Daphnia pulex: one gene and its partner. The protein of the gene in region 1 purifies or fractionates together with the protein of each later gene. This does not show direct contact. Links are inferred from orthologs where the notes say so. Each region holds a gene or a part of one and is shown in the gene's direction. Other genes may lie near its edges.

Region 1 (10,365 bases):
ACAGAAACGCTGTGCGCTAACCTCTTCACCGATACATATGACTGTATTACTAACTCTACTTTGGTCGTTGCATTAACTACAGAAATGCAGATGCACCTTATGCCTCTCGTCTTTGTAAAACATGTACAGCATATAGATTTCAAAAATGCAAACTAAGAATGCTTTCTTGCGTATTTTCCCAGACAAAACTACTTTACTGTTTTTCTTCGACCGTTTCTCAGCGCAATGTGTCCCTCTCCAGTCTTATATTGGCGCAGAAATGGTTGAAAAACAAACAAGCTTCAAGCGCATCCATCGAAGTTCCTGAAGGGATGGTTAAAGACGCCTTAAAAAAAAGCCAGTGCCACCATTAACTAATGGTAGCGTTGGAAACTCGAGATTTTAATTTAAAACTTTCATCACCGTCTCCCGTCGTTAGCTTTTAACTGTCGGTCAACAGTATCAGAATAATGTTTTACTGTCATCTGTCTGACAAGAAAAGACTTCAAATATACTAGGATAACTAGGAAATTATGTTGGATCGTGTGAGATTTATGCGGGTTTTTTGTTGTTTTTTGCAAGATTTTGCGGGATTTTGAAGATAATCGTGCAAGATAAAGTGCAGGATTTAAAAAAAAAAAAAAAACGGACGGATTTTCGGGACTTTTTAGGCAACCCTGCACGACTTTGCTATTTCAGAAGTGGCAGCACTGGCTATCTGTCAAATCAGGATCTGGACCAAAGGACCAAAGTGTTGACTCGAATACATACACAGAGTGTTGGCAAGCTATTTTATCATGGAGTTAGTGACACATTGTAAACATTCCAATGTGCTGCCTAGAAAAGGTGAAGATTGGTATGCTTTCTTAATTTATATATTGTCATTAATGTAATACATATTTTTCACAGAGCACGCAACATCCCAATCTAATTGCTTTATGCTGGTATTCCTCCATTACCTAATCATTGTGTGTCAAATGTATGCTCATTTGTCTGTTTATTACGGCATTTTATTTATTTCATTTGTGCTTTGTTTAGATTCTGACTGAAAACATGCTAGCCATGCTGATGCCAGCAAGGAATACTCCTCGATTGTCCCCCATCCTCTTTCTTGGATCTTAATTTCTGGGAATGTTTGTTCATATTAGTTTACTCGCTGGCTGCCACATTTTGCTTCCCATGTGAGATCTATTGAATTTCACGTGTGTTGATGGTGTGGAATCCTGGTATTGCTAACTATTAGCTCCAGTCTAAATTTGGTCTTGTTGCCGATTTTTTTTGGCACAATACTTTCCCTCCAGAAGCCGGTCTTTAGTGAACTATCGGAGGTTCTTGATCCAAAATATTCATTGGTGCATAACTTAGTAGTACTGCAACTTTTACAGATAGATTCTCATTATGATTTCCTTTTTTTGTTCTTTTCAGATTCACTGGCCTATTAGCACGAAATGTGGTAAAACCCTTTTGAGAAGAGCCTTGTTGTGCCAAACTTTAAAGTTCTGTTGATCGTTCGACATACCAAGAACTTTCCCAGGTAAAGTTGAAAATTTAAGATGTCGAGAAAGTTTTGGATTTACTCTAACTCTCTGTGCATGCTAAAAGGAATTCAAAGGAAGTTCTAGTGGCAGCTTATGTTCACTGGCAAATGCTGCGTGACACATTATGACACACAAAACAAGCCTAGACGCCCATTTATTCCACATCAAACATCTCTTTATCCTTCGTGACCAGGTTGTAACCGTGTCATATTTCATTATATTAAAGCGCTGGTCATGATTCATCATTATATTGTTCATTTACAGATAACTCCTTTTCAAGTCGACTTAAAAGTAGCGGTCGACGAAATAGCGGGCAGCAGAGTGCCGATTTGACTGTTGGGGACGTTATATTGGAGCACTTCCACCACTATGAAAAATTTGTGACATCTAATGTGAAGCTGCCCCTTCAACACTACAACCAAATTGAAGATCTCGATTCGGCTTTAGCCAACAACGATCTATCGATTGCAATGGTAAGATTGGCTGTATTTTATAAAAGCACCTATATGTTTACTCTAACCTTACCATGCAATTTGTTTAAAATATAGTGTGCCTTTTTTTCAAAAATCTTGAAAACCATGTCATCTCGCGATCAAATATCGAAGATGTTGATGAGCAAACTCTTCACCAATTCATTGTGATCAAAGATTCAATGGAAAAAAAGAGGAAACGACAGGCGTCCAGGATTCGGTCATCTGACCAATCTGATTGCAGTTATGGGAGGTTAGTTTTTCCCTCAAGTCCTCACATAACTTGTTATTGATAATATATTTTTTATTAGTTATTATTAACATCATACGGGAAATCAACAATAAGGCACCTAAAGTGGACTTCAAAGAGCTAATAGGAACCATCCAAAGCGCTCGTCGCATCTTCGTCGTTCGAGTTAAAAAACAAAGAATTGAATCAAATCGAAGTCCCAGACGAGGTAGAAGGGCACAGAGCCGATCGTAAAACCCAACTCGCTGTAGACAGCAGAATGGCAGAACTGTACAACGCCATCCTGAATTTTGAACTAAATTAGCGGTTTATGTACAAGTACGTTGTACCTACACCACAAAAATTATTGATTTATCGCTCGCTATATGCTCAATAAAATTTTTTTGTCTACAGGTCATCTGTGTTAAGCAGTTATTGATTCCTCAAGTACATCCCGTGTTTAATTGCTCATTTCATTGCTCATTTAAGAATTTTATGACGTTTCAGTTTAAGCAATAGGACAATACATTTGAGAATCCCGGAGTAAAACATCTCTTTGTCTTTTCTGTTATCATTATACTCTTTAAACATCGCCATAAGCGTCATAAATATGCATGTAGCCGGTATTCCCTTACAGATTAATTGCTGATTTTGATGGGATCTTCGAACGCATTTTTAATGAACATTTATATAGTTACTTTATTGTAAAATAGTGTAAACAAGTGCAGAATGCACGTGTCTCTTTTACATTTTCAAAATTGATTTCAAACAGTAAATCCATTCGAAAAATGCATTTTTTCTACAAAATTCATAGGAAAAATTCTGCTCGGGAAATAGCTATCTGGGTTTTATAGAAGTATAAAAAAATTGAAAACTAAACATAAATTTTTTTTTCCGATTCCCATTTTTTGGTTTTTCCCATAAAACTCGCAAAATTAATCAGAAATTCAGGAAGAAAAAGAAAGAGGATAAATAAAACCTCATTTAAAATACGCTGTATTTATTTCAGAGTTTTAAACAAATCGTACCTATCTGTAATATTCTCACATGTGTATTCGTGACTACAGTGAATAGAACTGAACTGATGTTTACTACAAGGGGCAGCGCGTTATATAGCAGCGCGTGGTATATCGGATTACTACGGGATACATGATATATCTATTGGGGGCATATGCTATAGCTACGCTACATTCACTTTCCTTTTTTTGAATGAAACATATTAACTACAAAACATCTAAAACATTTGCCATAATGTAAATCTACCAGTTTTACCTTGGAAAAATGATTATTTCGTAATTAATGACCATTTTCATTTTCCACGATTCCAATTGGTTGAAAAAAAATCCCAATAAAGCCTTTCAGGTCGACCGATGGAGGAGGAGCCTATGCTGCTATAAAGACCTCTAAACCTTCGGTTATTTAGTGAACTAAATCCCTCAGGGATTAATTTTTTAAAATTAAATTAATTTCTAGATAGCTAGTTTAGTCACAGTATCATTTGTCCAATGCTGGATCCGTCCATCATAATAGTCTGGGAGCTGGGTGACCAAAAAATGTTTTTTCTTTAGCAAAAGGTTTGAAGCTAAAATATGGTTACGCGGATGACCGAATGACGCCTACAAGGTGGACGATTGCGGTAACGGCCAAGGCCGGCGGATGGTCAACATAACCACGGAGAAGGGGAGAAAAGCATAATGTCTGTTAGTCAAGGGTTTACCGTGACGTTCGATATGCGCTCACGAAAGAGGAGCAGAAAAAAAGCTGGGAATATATAGGGAAGAAATTATAACTGCCAATAACACAAACCAAATAATCAAAAAGTGATCGGTTCAACCAAATTAATGCATAATCTTATTTAAAAAACCGAAAAATGCATTTTCTGTTCACATTTACTTAGTTAAAAACTCACAGATCCTCCCCAAATCTCTCTATTTAAAATTAGGCGCTTAGGATGCAGCGTTGCCATTTTCACAATTTACTGAAATTTCCTAAAATTTCTTACACACCGACGTCTGATGGCCCCAAGGCCCCAGATTATGACGTCTGTCTGTCGGAAATTAAATAAAGTTGATATCCCTCTATTTTTTAAGATATAGTTCAGATTTTCTAAACAAATTGTATTTTTTTACGGTTCCCGCCGACTTCGGGATCGCGTCACGCTTGAACGCCCCGGCCGCCAGTCGACAAACTTTGCTTTTCGTGTGCGTCATACCCCCCCCCCCCCCCCCTAACCATATTTTAGCTTCAAACCTTTTGCTAAAGAAAAAACATTTTTTGGTCACCCAGCTCCCAGACTATAACCCCGCTCCTGCCCCGCTCTCCCCTACAAACAATAACTTCTGTAAGAAACTACATAAAAGAGTTTGAAGTAGCATTGAAACTAGAATGTCCGTTGTGCTTTAGTGATAAATATGTGCCTAAGACAGATAACTTATCACGCTTGACGATAGTGGCGTATCAAGAACAATACAAGATACCGAGTGCATATAAAAATCAACAAGAATCATTTTCAAATGAAATCAGTGTCAGTGGCATCAGCTCTGAAAACATTATCTTGATTTGTCTTCCAGTCAGTAGTCTTAATGAATTTACAATTTTTATGTGTATACAGATTTTGATTTGAATTATGTGCACTCTGAAAGACAGCGTATCGTTCACGGGAGAGAAGCACTCCAGAATTTGGATGGCATTTCCAAACGAGTCAAATTTGTCCTAACCATTTTTCGCGTGGCAGGGAGTATAGGCTTCACTGAATTTCCGATTTTATATCGATCGGTGAATCGAGACGGGAGCCAATAGCGTGGCCCGATTTCGGTCACGTGGGGGTAGTTTTTCTCTCTACTAAGCTCCGCCTTTTCCCATTTCCTTCCATTGGGACTTTTGAGCTCTACGGGAACCCTTTTAGGAGGCCCTCGGCAGGCTAAAGCCTTAGCCTCAGGGATAACATCATGCCAACTTCTGGGTGCACCTGTATTGTACTACTCGCCATCTAGTTTTAAGTACAAGAACTAAAGAGACTATGTAGGACGCCATCTGCGTCTCATCTGAAACACCCCGGCCGACTTCCCGAGCTGTCAGTTATTATTCAGTTATTAGATTTACAGTGATCATATAATCCAATTCAACAAGTACACCATCCACAGCAATTCCTCTACATATTTCCAACTCCTTCGATTTATTATATTATAAGTTGGTATTTGTGATTGTCTAGAGTTAAGTGGGCACAGGTTAGCAGAAATTATTTATTTTGTATTTGCTTGTTAAAGTTTGTGTTGTGATTTTTGTCTGTTACAGCTTGGCGGCTAAAAATGTTCAAGTTCTTCTGGGGGAAAGGTGCACATCAGTCTGCTGAAAGATTGAAAATACAGAAAGAGCTTTTTCAGTTCCAAAAAGTATTTACTATCATGATTATGAATATTAATTGCCATTGCATCATCCAATATTTGATAACAGACAGCACAACATGGTTTTCCGAGTAAACCCACTTCATTGGCATGGGATCCTGTGTTACGGCTTCTATGTTTGGGGACGCGAACAGGTGCCTTAAAAATGTAAGTTTCATTTTTCATTCACAATTGTTCACACATATTTTTTTATTATTGTATTTATTAAATGCTTTTTTTTCAATTTTTTTTGTACCACACCCCTACTTGAACTTTCAGTTTTGGAGCTCCTGGAGTGGAGTTTTATGGACAGCTACCAAAAGATAAAATTATCTGCAGCTTACATTTTGTCCCTGGGCATGTATGTTTACGCATAAAAACTATTGCTATTATTCATCTCTGATTTATTTATTTTTTTAACAGGGGCGTGTCATTGTAGTGTGTGAAGACAATTCCCTACAACTTTGGGATATATCTACAGACGGTAGCCCTGCTTTAAAATGTGTTCATTCACAATCTTTGGAGGGAAAGTAAGATTTATTTTTTAATGTAGGCCTACTTATAAAGGTTTTATAATTCATAATTTATCATTTATATTTTGCAGGTTAAAAAAGATATCAGCGTGTTGTATTGAATCAAGTGGAGAACATTTGTTAATAGGTACAGAGAATGGAAATATCTACATCATGGATTTGCTGAAGCTTGAAATGACTGATTCTGTTATTTATCTTGACGTTGTAATGCAGAAGTAAGTACTTACATATTATTTTTGCATTTCACCATCTGCCTTGTACGAATTGTACAAAAAGATTTTTGGTTTCGTATTTTAACAGTGTTACAGAAGATTTCAAAGTGAACCCAGGAGCTGTTGAGTGTGTTAGTGAACAGCCAAACAGTGCAGATCACATTCTTATTGGTTATACACGTGGATTGCTTGTGCTATGGAATTGTAAAACACTGTCTGCTGTTCAAGTATGTATTTTATCAGTTTTATCTAAAATGCCATCATTTTATTTGAAAAATTATTTACATTTGCAGACTTTTGTTGCTTCTCAACAATTGGAAAGTGTGAGTTGGCACCCCAATGGGAAGAAGTTTGTTTCTGCTCATAATGATGGGTCTTACATGGTATGGACTCTTGGACAAGAAGAAACAGATATGTTTGTAAAGAAAGAGCCAAATACTATATCACACTATGGTCCTGATCCATGCAAAGCCATCACAAAAATTCTTTGGAGTAACACTGATGTGTAAGTTCAATAGTTATTGAGACTTGTTGAGTAGTTGTTGAATAAGTTATCAACTGCCGTACTTGGATACAATTTATTTGTGGTAGTTTACTCAGCAGTAGTTTTTAATTCATTTTATCACATATCTTCACAATATTTCTTGACAGCAAAATTTAAATGCAGTACTACCAACTTTTTGTCAATAAATTCAAACTTTATTTTTTTCAGGGAGGAGTGCGGAATCTTTGTGTTTGGTGGTGGAATGCCGAGACTTGCCTATGGCGACCGCTATACTCTTTCTGTCGTAAAAGGGGAAAATACTCACGCTACTTACGATTTCACTTCGAAAGTGATAGATTTCTGTTTAATCAGTGATGTTACTACCGGCCAGGCAGAAGCTCTTGTAGTGCTAGCTGAAGAAGAGTTAATTGTGATCGATTTGATTAGCACGGGCTGGCCTACATTTTCCCTGCCTTATTTAGCTTCACTTCACTGCAGTGCTGTTACAGCTCAAACTGTAGTTACAGTAACATCTGAATTGTATGATAAAATCAAAGCAAATCCACAAGGAATGACACCATCATCGAAAGTGAGTACCCGCCCATGGCCTATTAACGGAGGAATATCCTTCAGCGAACAAGTTGATCAACCTTCTCATCGTATATTACTTCTCACCGGGCACGAGGTATGTAGAAAATGACAATAGATGTGAACTTTTTAGAAAAAATAAAATAAAACTTAACGGATTTCTTTTAGGATGGATCTGTTCGGTTTTGGGATGCAAGCACTGCCTCCCTGTTTCAAATATCGAAATTTTCAACGTCTTCATGTTTCTCGAGTGACGATTTAGACTGCACAGCGGAAAGTGATGAAAGAGAAATTGATGAGGATGAATGGCCGCCGTTTCGTAAGGTAATGTTATTGGACTACGTCTTAAAGTTCTTCCATTTTGTATTTTTAAGTTAAGTCATGTTGTTCCAATGGAGTTTATTATTTTTTATACATTTTGCTTTGCCCAAGACTGGATTATATCCTTTTCCATTTTTATCTGTTTTTCTTGTATAGAGTCCTTCATTATGATAGACATTTTTTAGTATTTAGTTGGTGGTGCCAAGTGATAGTATTTAACAGAAGTGTCAATTATTCCTTACCTTCTTATTTTTTAATTGAAATTTTATATTATGCGAGTTCAGATTGGAGTATTCGATCCTTACTCAGATGACCCACGTTTGGCTGTTAAGAAATTGTGCCTGTGCCCTGTCACTGGATTGTTAACAGTTGCTGGGACGGCTGGTCAAGTTGTCGTTGCCGAATTATTCGAAATGCAATCGGAAAAAGAAGTCCCGGTACTTATATTTTGCAAAACTTTACTTTAAATTCAATATTCTATATATTTTTTTCTTCTTGACGTAGATTGTACTCGTTAACATAGTTTCAGATCGGGATAATTTTGTGTGGAAAGGCCACGATAAGTTAGTAGTAAGGAAAGGTTTACTGTCCTTTAAACCAGGCTTCCAGCCAACTTCTGTCCTACAGCTTCATCCTCCCGCTGCAGCCACGGCATTAGCGTTAAATGCAGAGTGGTCAGTATTGGCTGTAGGAACAGCTCATGGACTAACACTTTATGATATAGTAAGTATTGAATGAAATGGTCATCGTTCGCAATCCATTTTAATCTTTACAAAAAAATTTAGACCGTTAAAAAGGAGGTAGTTGCAAAATGCACCCTTAATCCGAATGATGTGTCAGGAACTGGAGAGCAGCCAATGTCACGACGAAAATCTTTTAAAAAATCCCTCAGAGAATCCTTCAGGCGGCTGCGTAAAGGGCGTAGCCAGCGTCCTTCCGCTGGCCCTAAATGTGCACCAACTTCACCGATATCAAAGGTCGAAGATAGTAACGCTATAAACAATGCTGGGCCATCTATAGCTGCTGAAGTGCGGCCTGTTGAGAGGCAGATTGAAGCTAGAAATGTTATGTTAGATGACGGTATGGGCAGCATGGTTCGTTGTTTACTGCTTGTCAAAACTTACGTAATCAGTCAGTCTTCCAATGCTACCGCAACTCTTTGGGCCGGAACAAATAGCGGAGCTATATATGTTTTTAGCCTTAACATACAGACGGGTATGTTGACATTTTAATTTTTATATTATTGCTGTGGCCTTTTTTCTTTATTTGTGTCTAACTATGCACTCATTTCCTTCTGTCTAATATTTATTTGCTTTAAATATTTCAGGAAATAGACGACACGTGGAGCCCGTGAACGCACAACTTGCAAAAGAGATTCAATTGAAACATCGAGCACCTGTTGTATCGATTAACATAATTGATGCTTCTTATGCAGCTATTGGGGAATCGTTTGAAAACTCTGGGATTAAATCGACTTCTGAATCCTGTCCTCCGCATCGCGTAGTGATTTCGTCGGAAGAACAGTTCAAAGTGGGTGATGAGTATGCGAGGAATTAATTGCCATATGTAATGAATGGCATTATTTTTGTTGCTTCTAGGTTTTCACACTTCCAAACCTGCGCCCGTATGGAAAGTACAAATTAACTGCTTACACTGGTTGCAAAGTTAGGCGCGTTGCGGTTGTTCCCTTTACTGCTCGATCGGATCCGTCCTATAAAGAGAACTGTTTGGTGTGTCTGTCCAATCAAGGAGATTTTCACATTTTAAGTCTCCCGGAACTGCGGCGACAAATGAATGCACAGGCTATACGAAAGGAAGATATACAGTAAGATAAAGGTTTTTTCTTAATTAATGTTTTCTTAAATTTCATCAGCAATTTCGGATCATTTATAGTGCTACCAGTACTGTTGTCCTTACAAATCAAGGAGAAGCATTTTACATGTTGTCTTCCAGTGAATTACAACGTGTTGCGTTGAGTGCTCGTAATTCCCTCCAGTTAAAATGTAAAGTGAATGGGATGAAAAATACCCAGGCTCCCGTGGAATCCTCCTCTCAGGCGGTGATCAAGATTTGTACGTCAAAAGAAGAAAAGCCAGAAGTAGTAATGGAAACTGAATTCTCTGACGTTTCTGTCATTTCAAACACGAGTAATCCAAATGAAGACCGAGAAAACGATAAGAATATCTGCAATAATGAAATTAACAATTCAACAATCGTAAGTGTTGAGCCGGAAACCAGCTTTGGAGATATGACGGTGGACTCTGTCAAAGATCATATAGTGTAGGTTTCCATTTATATTCATAGAAAGAAAAACATTTCTTAACATTTTTTATTTGCATGAAATCTTTTGACTATTGAAGCCTTAGTTTGGACGAATGTAGAATCACAGAAGTTGCATCGGAAACTCGCATTGAACAAGTAAAAACAGAAATATCCTCTGTTTTAAGTTTACACGAAACTTCAAAAATCTCTAACGGTAATCAAGAAGTTGTCTCATTTGATTTTATTGAACCTTACATTAACTAGTGCTGACTTTGAACACTAACGAATTTAACTCGGATAATATAAACAAAAAAGAATTCTATTAATCAATATTTCATCTATTTTAGTAATCTCAATAGATGAATC
Region 2 (10,365 bases), on another chromosome or scaffold:
CAGTCGGCTAAATTTCGGCCGTGAGCAGCAGCCTCAGTGAAGGTTCCTTCCGGATAGGATGATGATTGGAAGTGTTCCAGAACGGCTTCGCTATACATTTGAAAAGTAACAATGTCAACAAGATTGTTTTTTTGTTTTTAAAAACTAGTTCTTTTTTTTTCTCGGTTGCCTTCAGAAGAAATTGAAAACAAAAGTTTTTACCTGCTTAGTTTGCCAAAGACTTTCCCCATTTGGCCGTAGTTCGATGTCAAACGTCGATTGGCTAAACAGATGGACCTTTGAGCGCAGACCAGAGGCCGTTTGTTATCACCATGTTCGGTGAACTCGCTCTATTTTTTAAAAGATTTTGTCATTGATTCTCAATCCAAAGACAAATAATTAGATTCAAATTACTAGAAGCGGGAGAACGGTGGCGACGATTTCATAATTCAATGTTTGAATTCCTCCTTGGCCGAGATTGGAAAACCATTCCCGAAATGGATCTTGAATAGATTTCTTCTTCCGGCCACTGGCAGCCGTCGTCGTTATTTGATTCAGAATGTCCTAAAAAATTGAATCGGAAGGTTAGATGATTCAAGTATTTGTGAAACCGCGAATCACAGAATCATTCCCGTGCAAACAAGGATGAAAGGATTAATAGGTGGAAATTGATACCGACCCGCAAGAGATTGATCAGAAGCAAAAGTCCCAGTAAAGCTACCGCATTGCTGCCATTTGACCTATTAGAATCAAGAGAAAAGGAGCCATTGATATCTAATTGGTATTTTCAGTTTGTTAAGCAAAGAAGAAGAAGATTTCAGGGCGTGGCTAGTGATAAACTAATGCAATCACTTGTGTGATGACCTCAGACCTGCCTTTATTGGTTTTTACCTGGATCAAATTGAGTAGGTAAAGGAATCCCAACAGAGAAACGGCCGAAGTGTTTAACCTAATTTTTATGATACGTCAATTTCATTTTGAAAACAAAACTGGCACTTGACTCGGTCGGATCAAAGTATCGATTTCTTGATAGTAAACAAAAATATTAAATTACATACCCGTGTCCGTAACCTCCTCCCCCGTGTCCACCGTAACTTGCTCCTCCACTTCCGTGGCCATAGCCTCCTCCGCCGTAGTTTCCTCCGCCGTAGCCCCCGCCCCCATAGCCTCCACTTCCGTAAGAAGAAGCGGCCGGTTTCAAGTCGGTGGATCTCGATGATTGAGAACTCGTTTCATCGTCTGCATAGTCCAATCAAATTGATTATATCAATTATTTAATTTAAAATGTAATTCAATACTTACACGACGTGATAGCTGAAAATGTAGCCGAATGATCGGTTAGTCCGACCATTTGACGCCAGGCTTCGTCAGGGTCGTACGTTCCCGAATCTCCACTCACGATGACGACGATGAGCAGAGGAGATAACCACAACTGCATCTTGTTACTTGACTTGTCCTCGATCCGAATTGATATCACGTCGAGGGACCATCATCCCTCTACTATTTATAGGGTTTCTCATAATGCCCAGGTAAAAATATTTCCGTTAAGGTGAAAGGACTGAAAAATAAAAATTTCTTTGTTTGAATTCATTTGAATTATTTTGATCGTCACGTCTCATCATTGTTTCGATCCTTATTCTGTATTTTAAATCTCTTGAATGCGAGTTTAACGGGCGAGAGTAGCGAACGTTGACCGAACAACACATTGCCGCATCAACGTTGAACAAAAATGGACGTCACGGTGTTGACATTTAAGAATGAAAAAAACACAAGAAAGGAAATATAACGGGGCGACTCAGGTTGTCGTAATGTCTAGAGAAAATAAAAGAGAGTTAGGCAACTAAGAACACGAATTTTAAAAATCAAACGAATACCAGCAGAACACAACAGAATTAAAATTGTGATCGTTTGCCGCCAATACAATCGTGTTGCCAAGCTTTTAATGGCGTTGGTTTCTTAACAACGATTTAAAATTATTTTTATGATACAATAGAAATCTGTATTTTTTTTTTTAACTTTTAACTTTTTCAATGGTTTTGATTTCCATGATGGTGGCGATGAGCTCGAGAAAACATTTCCCTCCAGGGCTAAATGCGTTGTTCAGCCATGCCGCCAAAAATCGACGGCTAGCGTTCTTCATTTGTCTACGTTGTTGTTGCCTAGGGGGCTAGCGGTGGCGCTGTTCCACCACGGCGCCATCTATCTAGCTGGTGCCAGGCAATAGACTCCGAATTGTCTTTCCCGTGCCGCTCGTGGCAGAACGTAAGTATTGAATTGATATTCTACCTTTTTCCTTAGTCTTATTTCGCATATTGATATCGGTAATTGTAGTTAGTTTAATAGCCAAAGTCTCCGTTACAAATTTGTGTTCACTTTAATCGTGTTGTTGACGTTTGTATTTCTGATAGTTGTGTTTTTTGGGCTTGGTAAACGCTGGTGGTCGAAGTAGGAATGACACATGGCACATGAGGTTACTTTGGGCGCCATGTTGGGATTTTAACCGGCCTTTTCCACATATTATTGTTGCATATTCATTAGCCTACAGTAGTGTTCTCATGTAATTGGATTCCATATCCTTATTCCTTTTTTTCAGTTATATTTCTTTGGGTATTTAGTACTGTTGTCAAATTAAACTTAACGCCGTTGTAATAACTATAGTAGTCAGCTGCTGCGGCAGTGATCAATATAGAAGATAGTACTGAAATCGCTACCCCATTGATGTGAATGTTTCTAATCACTTTCTTTTTGTCACAGTGATTCTATATATCCATTCCCCTGAACTTGTACAACATGGCAGAGCTTGAAGACACTCAGTTCGAGTCAGGGGATTCTGGAGCTTCAGCAACATTTCCCATGCAATGCTCTGCTCTTCGCAAGAACGGTTTCGTCATGTTGAAGGTGATTATATAATAATAGAAATTATTTTAATCTTCATTGTACTTAAAGTGAATTTCATTTGAAGGCAAGGCCTTGCAAGATTGTTGAGATGTCCACATCCAAGACTGGCAAACATGGCCACGCCAAGGTTCACATGGTTGGTATCGACATTTTCAATGGCAAGAAACTTGAAGATATTTGCCCTTCCACCCACAACATGGATGTCCCTGTTGTCAAGAGGGAGGATTTCACTGTAATATAAAATTACAACTTTGATTATGTTAGTTTGGAATTAACAAAATTTTTGTTTTAGCTCATTGACATATCTGGTGATGGCTTTCTTTCAATGATGAATGACAACGGAGATTTGCGTGAAGATCTCAAGGTTCCAGAAGGAGACTTGGGTAACCAAATCAGGGCTGATTTCGAAAATGGTCGCGAACTTCTGGTAAGCTAATTTTACCCTATGCGATGTATTGTTCAATTTGATATTAAGAGTGGATGTATAATCACCTGTTTTTTCTTCTATAGTGTACCGTTTTGAAAGCCTGCGGCGAAGAGTGTGTGATTGCCGTTAAAGCCAACACAGCTGCCGAAAAGTAATTCACACAAATTTGTGAAGTTTCACTTCCAACTGGTTACCAATAAAAATGGAGAGAAACACAAAAAAATAAACGGGAAACAGCTGTGGATATTGGATTTAAATTCTACTTTCTTTCTTTTAATTTTGCCTACTACCGATTGATGTAAATCGTGGGGAGAAATGGGTATCTTGACCTTGTTGCCTCGTTTCATTGGATAAGTCCATCTCTTGTTCTGGTTTATTATTGCCTCCCCCGTTCGACCCAATGGGTCAATAGACAGACTTGTTAATGAACACTACGCTATTCTGCAGTTGATTGCAAGATAGTTGTTTAACCTAAACCTTACTCATACCCATTTCCCATGCAGCAAAACGAAAGAGTTCAATAAACCAATTTCAAGCACTTCAAAAATAATGGAGCCTTAAATTTAACGATTTTTACTTCAAACTTTTATTTTCCAATCACTCAACATGTGAATTGAAGCAAAACGGGCAACAACTTGATTGGGTAATGGATGTTATACTTTACAGGAGGGGAAAAACTTGGTTGAATAAGGGAAATAATAGGAAAATGCAATTTATAATATTATGTATCAGTTAAGGATCGCTTTTTCCTTGTCTTTTCTGCAAAGCATTAGCCAGATCTTCGCTGAAAGCCTGCTTTTGCTTTTGATCGGCCAAAGGCTGAATGGAACGCAGCCCGTTGACAATATCCTTAGTCTTACCGAAGTAAATTTCATTCAAAGTGTGCCTAATTTTGTTCTCCATATCTTCGACAAGACGACCCATGTTTACGATGTGCGACGTAGGCTCGCTTACTGTTCCGTCTTGCTCCATCTAACACGAGAGAAAAAATCGGTTCAATTTAAGGGAAATATCTCATGGTCATAAAAGTAAACAATAATATTACCTGACGCGTTAAGCTTCCACCAAGGTTCATCGTTCCGGAACCGGGACGACTGGTCTGCAGCCATAGCATGACTGTCGACGTAAGCTTATAGTGAGCCGAACGGCCGGTAGACTTTTCTTGCACTTCAATGACATGAATCGAATCCCAGCACCCTTTAATATTTCGAGCGCCATCACCAGCTCGTTTTATAAGAATGACTCCAGCAAATCCATGATCCAGGTCCCATAGGTACACAGAGGAGACTCCACCCTCAAAATACATCTGACGGTATTGATCAAATGCAGCATTGGCCTCTACTTCCAATCTACGTAGCCTGTCCGTGGGCAGTGTTCCATCTTCAAGAGGTGGTTCATAGGTGTTGCTCCATGGAGAACTGACAGATCAACATTTGTTATTATTAGGGTCAAGTTTTCAACACAACTGTAAATACTGTTACCGATAAGAATCTCCATCACGGTTATAATCACAGAGAAGATAATCTTTTCCTTCTCTCTTATCACGTGCAATTTTAAGTGGTTGATCCACTGATGATAGAAGATCCTCACACAGTTCAGGAACTAGGTCAATCAGGTCACTCAGGTTTTTTTCAATTTGCTGAGGAGGGAGACGTCGCATTAAGTCCAACGCTCGGTTCAATTGCTCCTCCGTCTGCAGAAACAAATAACAAGAGAAATATTATTAGACAAGTCAAATGTCAAATAAAATTTTCACTCTGAAATTGGAGGTTTAATACTAGCCGAAAATATGAATAAATTCGATTTTTAACTTACCATTGTTCAAAATGGACAGAAACGACAAACTTTTGAGATAATAAAATGGAACTGAAAAGGATTTCCGGCCTTTTTTCCCAGGAAAAACCAAAAAATGGGCGAGGTGAAAAATGAGTGGCGGTGACAAACAGAAATGTATGTTCTGAATCCGAAGTTGCGCTAAGCAATGAAAATCTCTGCCTGCTGGGAAATAAAAAAACGGTTGCGGATTCGAATTAGAATTCGAGATAAATCCACATATTAAATGACGGAAGTGTTGTTGGTCATTAAATAATAGCTGAGAATATTTAAAAAACAATTACAAAAACGATTTTTCTTTAAAATCAATCAAGTTTTGATCAATCTCGGAGAACGCCTCCTGGCGGCTGCATAGAAGGTTAATCCTCGAAACGTCAGTTTTGCCAGTATTAACCGCCTGACTCATATTTTTAGGTTAAAACTAAAAGTGTTTTCTGTTAGAAGTTTAAAGAAGTTATAGTGGAATCGTGGTTCACAATCAGTGATAGCCTCAAATGGTTACAATAGTCCGGCTGCCGTGAGGACTTGTTTGTAATTTTGAGGAAACGGCCAATTTGTGCCCAACCCACCTGTTGTTTTAAATGACGATGCCCACCACCCTCGTGAGTGATGGGGAAAAGGCCGAAATCAAAGTCAAGGCAGCTTTCAGCGGGTATACTTCATGTTTTTTTTTTCAATCTTTGTATGTACTTACCTCATTAGTTATTTTGCAGGAAAATTCTCGTGACTTACATAAACTCTGAGATCCTGTTGGATGATCTCCAAAATGAGATGCGAGCCATTTGCCAGTTTTCTCCTGATCAAGAGTTTACCATGAAATGGATTGACGAAGAAGGTTGTACAACACATACAATCCACACAGTTTTCTTTTACTATGATTTACATCCCTTTAGGTGATCCATGTACTATCTCTTCACAAGTTGAAATTGATGAAGCTATTCGTCTGTATGAAGTGAACAACGATTCAGAAATCACTATTCATGGTATTTTTTAATTCTACTTGTGTATAAACTTGAAATTTAATTACTCTTTTTAAAATTCAGTTTTCCCTAGTGTCCCTGTGTCACCAGGGCTTCCATGTTTTGGAGAAGATAAAAGTATTTATCGACGTGGTGCTCGTAGATGGCGGAAACTGTACAGAGTCAATGGACATCTTTTCCAGGCAAAACGTTTCAATCGCGTAAGTTTATCCATGCAACACCATTGATTCCCAGTAATCCTTACTTTCCATTTTTATGACAGAGAGCTTCTTGCGCTTACTGTCACGACCGTATCTGGGGTCTAGGTCGGCAAGGATTCAAATGCATTCAGTGCAAGCTGCTCATCCACAAAAAGTGCCACAAGCTTATCAAGATCAGTTGCAACACGGAGCAAGTGGCCGCTCTGAACACTCCATCCCAGGTTCATCTACTGTCAAATAGCGCGCTCAATACCAGTTCAGGGTCCGCAGTGACCGCTGCTGCTATTCCATCTATAAGCCCTGTTGTTAATGCCGGAGAACCCCCGACAGCGCTGCGACAGAATGGTGATGGTACCGAAGCACCGTCCGCACCGCCAATAGTACAACCTATTTTTGAGTCTCACAGTGTGAGTGTTCCGGTTGATGGAAGTCCAGGTACTTTATATTTCCATACAAAACAATTCAGATTTTTAATTGTATACTTTAAAATATTAGAAGAAGGTGTCGAAGGTGGTGCTGTTCAACGTCCGTATTCGATGGCGGATTTTGAATTGATTCGTGTGATTGGTCGTGGTTCTTATGCTAAAGTGTTGATGGTTGAATTACGACGAACTCGTCGGGTTTACGCCATGAAAGTAATCAAAAAGGAACTTGTTACCGATGATGAGGTATAAGAAAATTGATTCTTTGATTTTATCAACAACTTCTTCTAATTGAACAACTCGACTTTCAGGATATTGACTGGGTTCAAACGGAAAAACATGTCTTTGAGACGGCATCCAACCATCCTTTCTTGGTTGGCTTGCATTCGTGTTTCCAGACGACGTCACGCCTTTTCTTTGTCATCGAATTCGTACGTGGTGGTGATTTAATGTTCCACATGCAGCGCCAAAGGCGACTTCCTGAGGAGCACGCTCGATTCTATTCGGCTGAAATTTCTTTGGCGCTCAATTTCCTACACGAGAAAGGAATTATTTACCGTGATCTGAAGCTAGATAACGTCCTACTGGACCATGAAGGTCATATCAAACTCACCGACTACGGAATGTGCAAAGAGGGCATCCGTCCGGGTGATACCACGTCTACCTTTTGTGGTACGCCCAACTATATCGCTCCTGAAATTCTGCGCGGAGAAGACTACAGTTTCAGGTAATGTTTACAAATTAAACCCAATAGAATCTGGAACGCTAACTCCCCTGTAGCGAAAATGTCTAACCTTTTTCTTCGTTTTTATCAGTGTGGATTGGTGGGCGCTGGGTGTATTGTTGTATGAAATGTTGGCCGGTCGTTCACCTTTCGACATCGTCGGCGCTTCAGAGAATCCTGACCAAAACACTGAAGATTATCTGTTTCACGGTAGAGCTTCATCTTGTCTTCTTTATTATAATATTTGCTTTGTGGAAACTCGCGAGTCCATTTGATAAAGTTCGCAAGAAAAACGGGGTCTTATCAAGATCGCGTGACCTTTTTCCACTTGAGAGGATTGTAAATGTGTTGTTTGTAAAACATTGTGTGTTTTTTCTTTTCTTTTCATATTGCAGTCATCCTGGAAAAGACGATTCGCATTCCCAGGTCGTTATCTGTGAAGGCTTCTTCTGTCCTCAAAGGGTTTCTTAATAAGAATCCAGCTGATCGTTTGGGTTGTCGAAAAGAAACGGGCTTTGTCGATATCGTCCATCATCCATTCTTTAAATCAGTCGACTGGGAAATGGTATGAACATCTCTCTCTTTTACACGTTTAATCCACATTCTAGGAACAGATTACTAATCTTTTTTCATACGTGCACAGTTGGAGAAGAAACAAGTGGCTCCACCTTACGTGCCTCGTCTAGATTCCGACCGTGATCTGGCTCACTTTCCACCCGAGTTCACAGACGAACCAGTCCAACTGACACCCGACGATCAGTAAGTGATGGATCGTCTGTCGATTAAGAATCGATTTTTATTTTTGTTTTATTTTTTGTTGCTTTGCAGGACGGTCATTGAACGCATCGATCAGTCTGAGTTTGAAGGTTTCGAGTACGTCAATCCTTTGCTCATGTCATTGGAAGACTGCGTCTAGGATTAGAATAGAAAACGAAGCATTCGCTTTCATGCCATTATAAGATTTACACTAAAAATTGGAACCACACACACACATGTTTCATAGGGAAAGTTTGGCAGGTTTCACGGCAGCAAAAATTCTAACAGCCTACCATTTCTTCTCTTTCGTTTTTTTCCCCCTCCCCTTTTCACCATCAGTTTATTCGGTCCAGTATTTTTAAATATGATAGATCAAGTCTTAATCGACTTTGCGTCCATTCCAGTTCTTGCCTCATTGGAACATCTTTCTTTCCCTCCGTCACCTTTTCGATCTGTTGTACAACTGCCTTCATCTCTTTTGTCTTCTTTTCTTTTTGTGTCACTTTTAAAAGCCATTTTGTTTTGGTCACTTTTAGCCAAAAAGAAAATCTCTGTCTGGTTAATTATTATATTTCCGCCTTACACAGATCGCCTTTTTCCGTCTTGTTAGAAATATACAAGAAAGATGTCGACACAATCAGCTAGATGGCATCCACAGTCAAGAAATGGTGGTGGCCTTTTAATATTATAATTGGTGAAACCTGTTGTTGTTCGATGGGAAAGGCATTTCTACGGTACGACGTGCCGTTAGCACAATCGTTGGTTGTCTTTATGCTAAACGATGTAATGCAGAGGAAAAAGGGGTTTATTACTAAATATCGATGAGAGAAAAGTAGTTTTTATCACGCACGAAACCACTCGTTTATTGGTTGAAATTTTTCGAACGAAGAAAGGAAAGAAAAAAAAAGCGTGTAGGAGGAAGTCGTTGTCGGACATTTCTTTTCTAGAAAGAAACGAACATCGACCGTTTTGCGGTTGGATTCCCCTATACATTTAAAGAGATACACACACACAAACTCGTCTTGTGTGTGTGTGTAAAGGAATAAAGAAAACCCCAGAAAACATTTTACGCTCTCTATTTTTATTCTTTCGGGGCCGCGGAAAATGTCCCTCACCCTATGGTGTTTTCTTATCCTTTTTTTCCCATTGCGCATTCTTTTAATTTCGATGAAAAAGGTTCTTTTATGGAAATATTTATAAAAGAATCAGCCCCTCTCTCTCCCCCCCTTAATAAAAACAAAATCAGGTTTATATCCTTGTTTTGTTTAAGAAGGATATCTTTTAGATTAGACAAATTTTCGTAATCAAGATTTCACACACACAATCAAGTTTTAGTCGAGTTTCGTTTTTTTTTTCATTTTTGTGGTTGCAGGCGGAGCGACACAACCCAAAAAGTTATACCGTTACATTTGTTACGTCTCGGGCTCTTTTTTCTTAACACACGTAGACCTTGGGTGCCAAAATGGCCTCCGGCTACTTAAAGGTCGTATTAAGCGTACTTGTAAATAATAAAAATGCTGCTGCATTTTAAAAATGTAGGTATAAACCTACGACAGACGCTTTCGTGATAACTTGGCATCCATTTGGCTGCCACATGTTTATTTGACTCGTATTTCCACGATGTTAGTCAAGAATTCAGTCGGAGAGAAAAGAAAAAAAAGGACACATAAATTCATGTTTTGGTAGCACGTGGAGGGGGTACACACACACACACACACTGAAAATCCAATCGGCGCCATGTTTTTTTCTTTTCTCCCGAACGCGAGGAATTCTCCAATCGATCGACAAACGTCCTTGAACCAGAATAATTGAAAAACACAATTTTGGGCGAGCGTGTTTGCCCTTTGCTAGGCAACAGTGTCCGCCGGTGTACTTTGCCTTCCTGTCTAATATCTGGTCTATGGCTGCTGTTACGTAAAACAAAGTGTTGAATTTATCTGCTGATTTTAAGAGTGTAGCAGCATTCAAAAGGCGTTGTGTTGGTCATGCCCAAAACATCAAATGATTCATTTAGCTCTCAAAGTTCAACCATCTGGCGTGGCAACAGATAAAAACAAACAAACACACAAAACGTTTTTGAGTCGACGACGTAATCGCGTTTGCAATCAATTGAACAATGTTTGACATCACATTTTACCTTATATTC

The links. Proteins that work in one complex are often made in the same cells at the same time.
Region 2: the proteins of lethal(2) giant larvae protein homolog 1-like (region 1) and atypical protein kinase C-like purify together in Drosophila melanogaster (affinity purification with western blotting; 6 studies listed by BioGRID, with this or other methods). This does not show direct contact. The link is inferred for Daphnia pulex from reciprocal best matches to the Drosophila melanogaster genes l(2)gl and aPKC.

The regions. Positions count from the first base shown.
Region 1 is NC_060023.1:5,190,419-5,200,783, forward strand, and holds the start of lethal(2) giant larvae protein homolog 1-like, read left to right. Parts: upstream 1-5,035; 5' UTR 5,036-5,443; intron 5,444-5,510; 5' UTR 5,511-5,524; coding exon 5,525-5,608; intron 5,609-5,669; coding exon 5,670-5,767; intron 5,768-5,878; coding exon 5,879-5,960; intron 5,961-6,022; coding exon 6,023-6,129; intron 6,130-6,203; coding exon 6,204-6,347; intron 6,348-6,408; coding exon 6,409-6,571; intron 6,572-6,637; coding exon 6,638-6,849; intron 6,850-7,056; coding exon 7,057-7,513; intron 7,514-7,584; coding exon 7,585-7,740; exon of another isoform or gene 7,741-7,897; intron 7,898-7,979; exon of another isoform or gene 7,980-8,021; coding exon 8,022-8,174; intron 8,175-8,241; coding exon 8,242-8,460; intron 8,461-8,522; coding exon 8,523-8,952; intron 8,953-9,064; coding exon 9,065-9,267; intron 9,268-9,335; coding exon 9,336-9,562; intron 9,563-9,630; coding exon 9,631-10,017; intron 10,018-10,097; coding exon 10,098-10,213; intron 10,214-10,346; coding exon 10,347-10,365. UniProt on the Drosophila melanogaster protein: Essential for the development of polarized epithelia, for cell polarity associated with asymmetric cell division of neuroblasts during development, and for oocyte polarity formation.
Region 2 is NC_060022.1:4,022,513-4,032,877, forward strand, and holds atypical protein kinase C-like, read left to right. Parts: upstream 1-5,470; 5' UTR 5,471-5,718; coding exon 5,719-5,789; intron 5,790-5,850; coding exon 5,851-5,972; intron 5,973-6,030; coding exon 6,031-6,120; intron 6,121-6,180; coding exon 6,181-6,317; intron 6,318-6,379; coding exon 6,380-6,752; intron 6,753-6,812; coding exon 6,813-6,985; intron 6,986-7,050; coding exon 7,051-7,466; intron 7,467-7,554; coding exon 7,555-7,673; intron 7,674-7,858; coding exon 7,859-8,028; intron 8,029-8,106; coding exon 8,107-8,222; intron 8,223-8,291; coding exon 8,292-8,379; 3' UTR 8,380-8,856; downstream 8,857-10,365. Other genes in the region: calpain small subunit 1-like, read right to left, coding at 1-90, 202-329, 394-543, 659-719, 1,038-1,218, 1,282-1,417; eukaryotic translation initiation factor 5A, read left to right, coding at 2,770-2,877, 2,942-3,109, 3,170-3,304, 3,388-3,459; F-actin-capping protein subunit beta-like, read right to left, coding at 4,037-4,276, 4,350-4,722, 4,786-4,997, 5,120-5,122. UniProt on the Drosophila melanogaster protein: Serine/threonine protein kinase which is required for apico-basal cell polarity in the germ line as well as in epithelial and neural precursor cells, for epithelial planar cell polarity and for cell proliferation.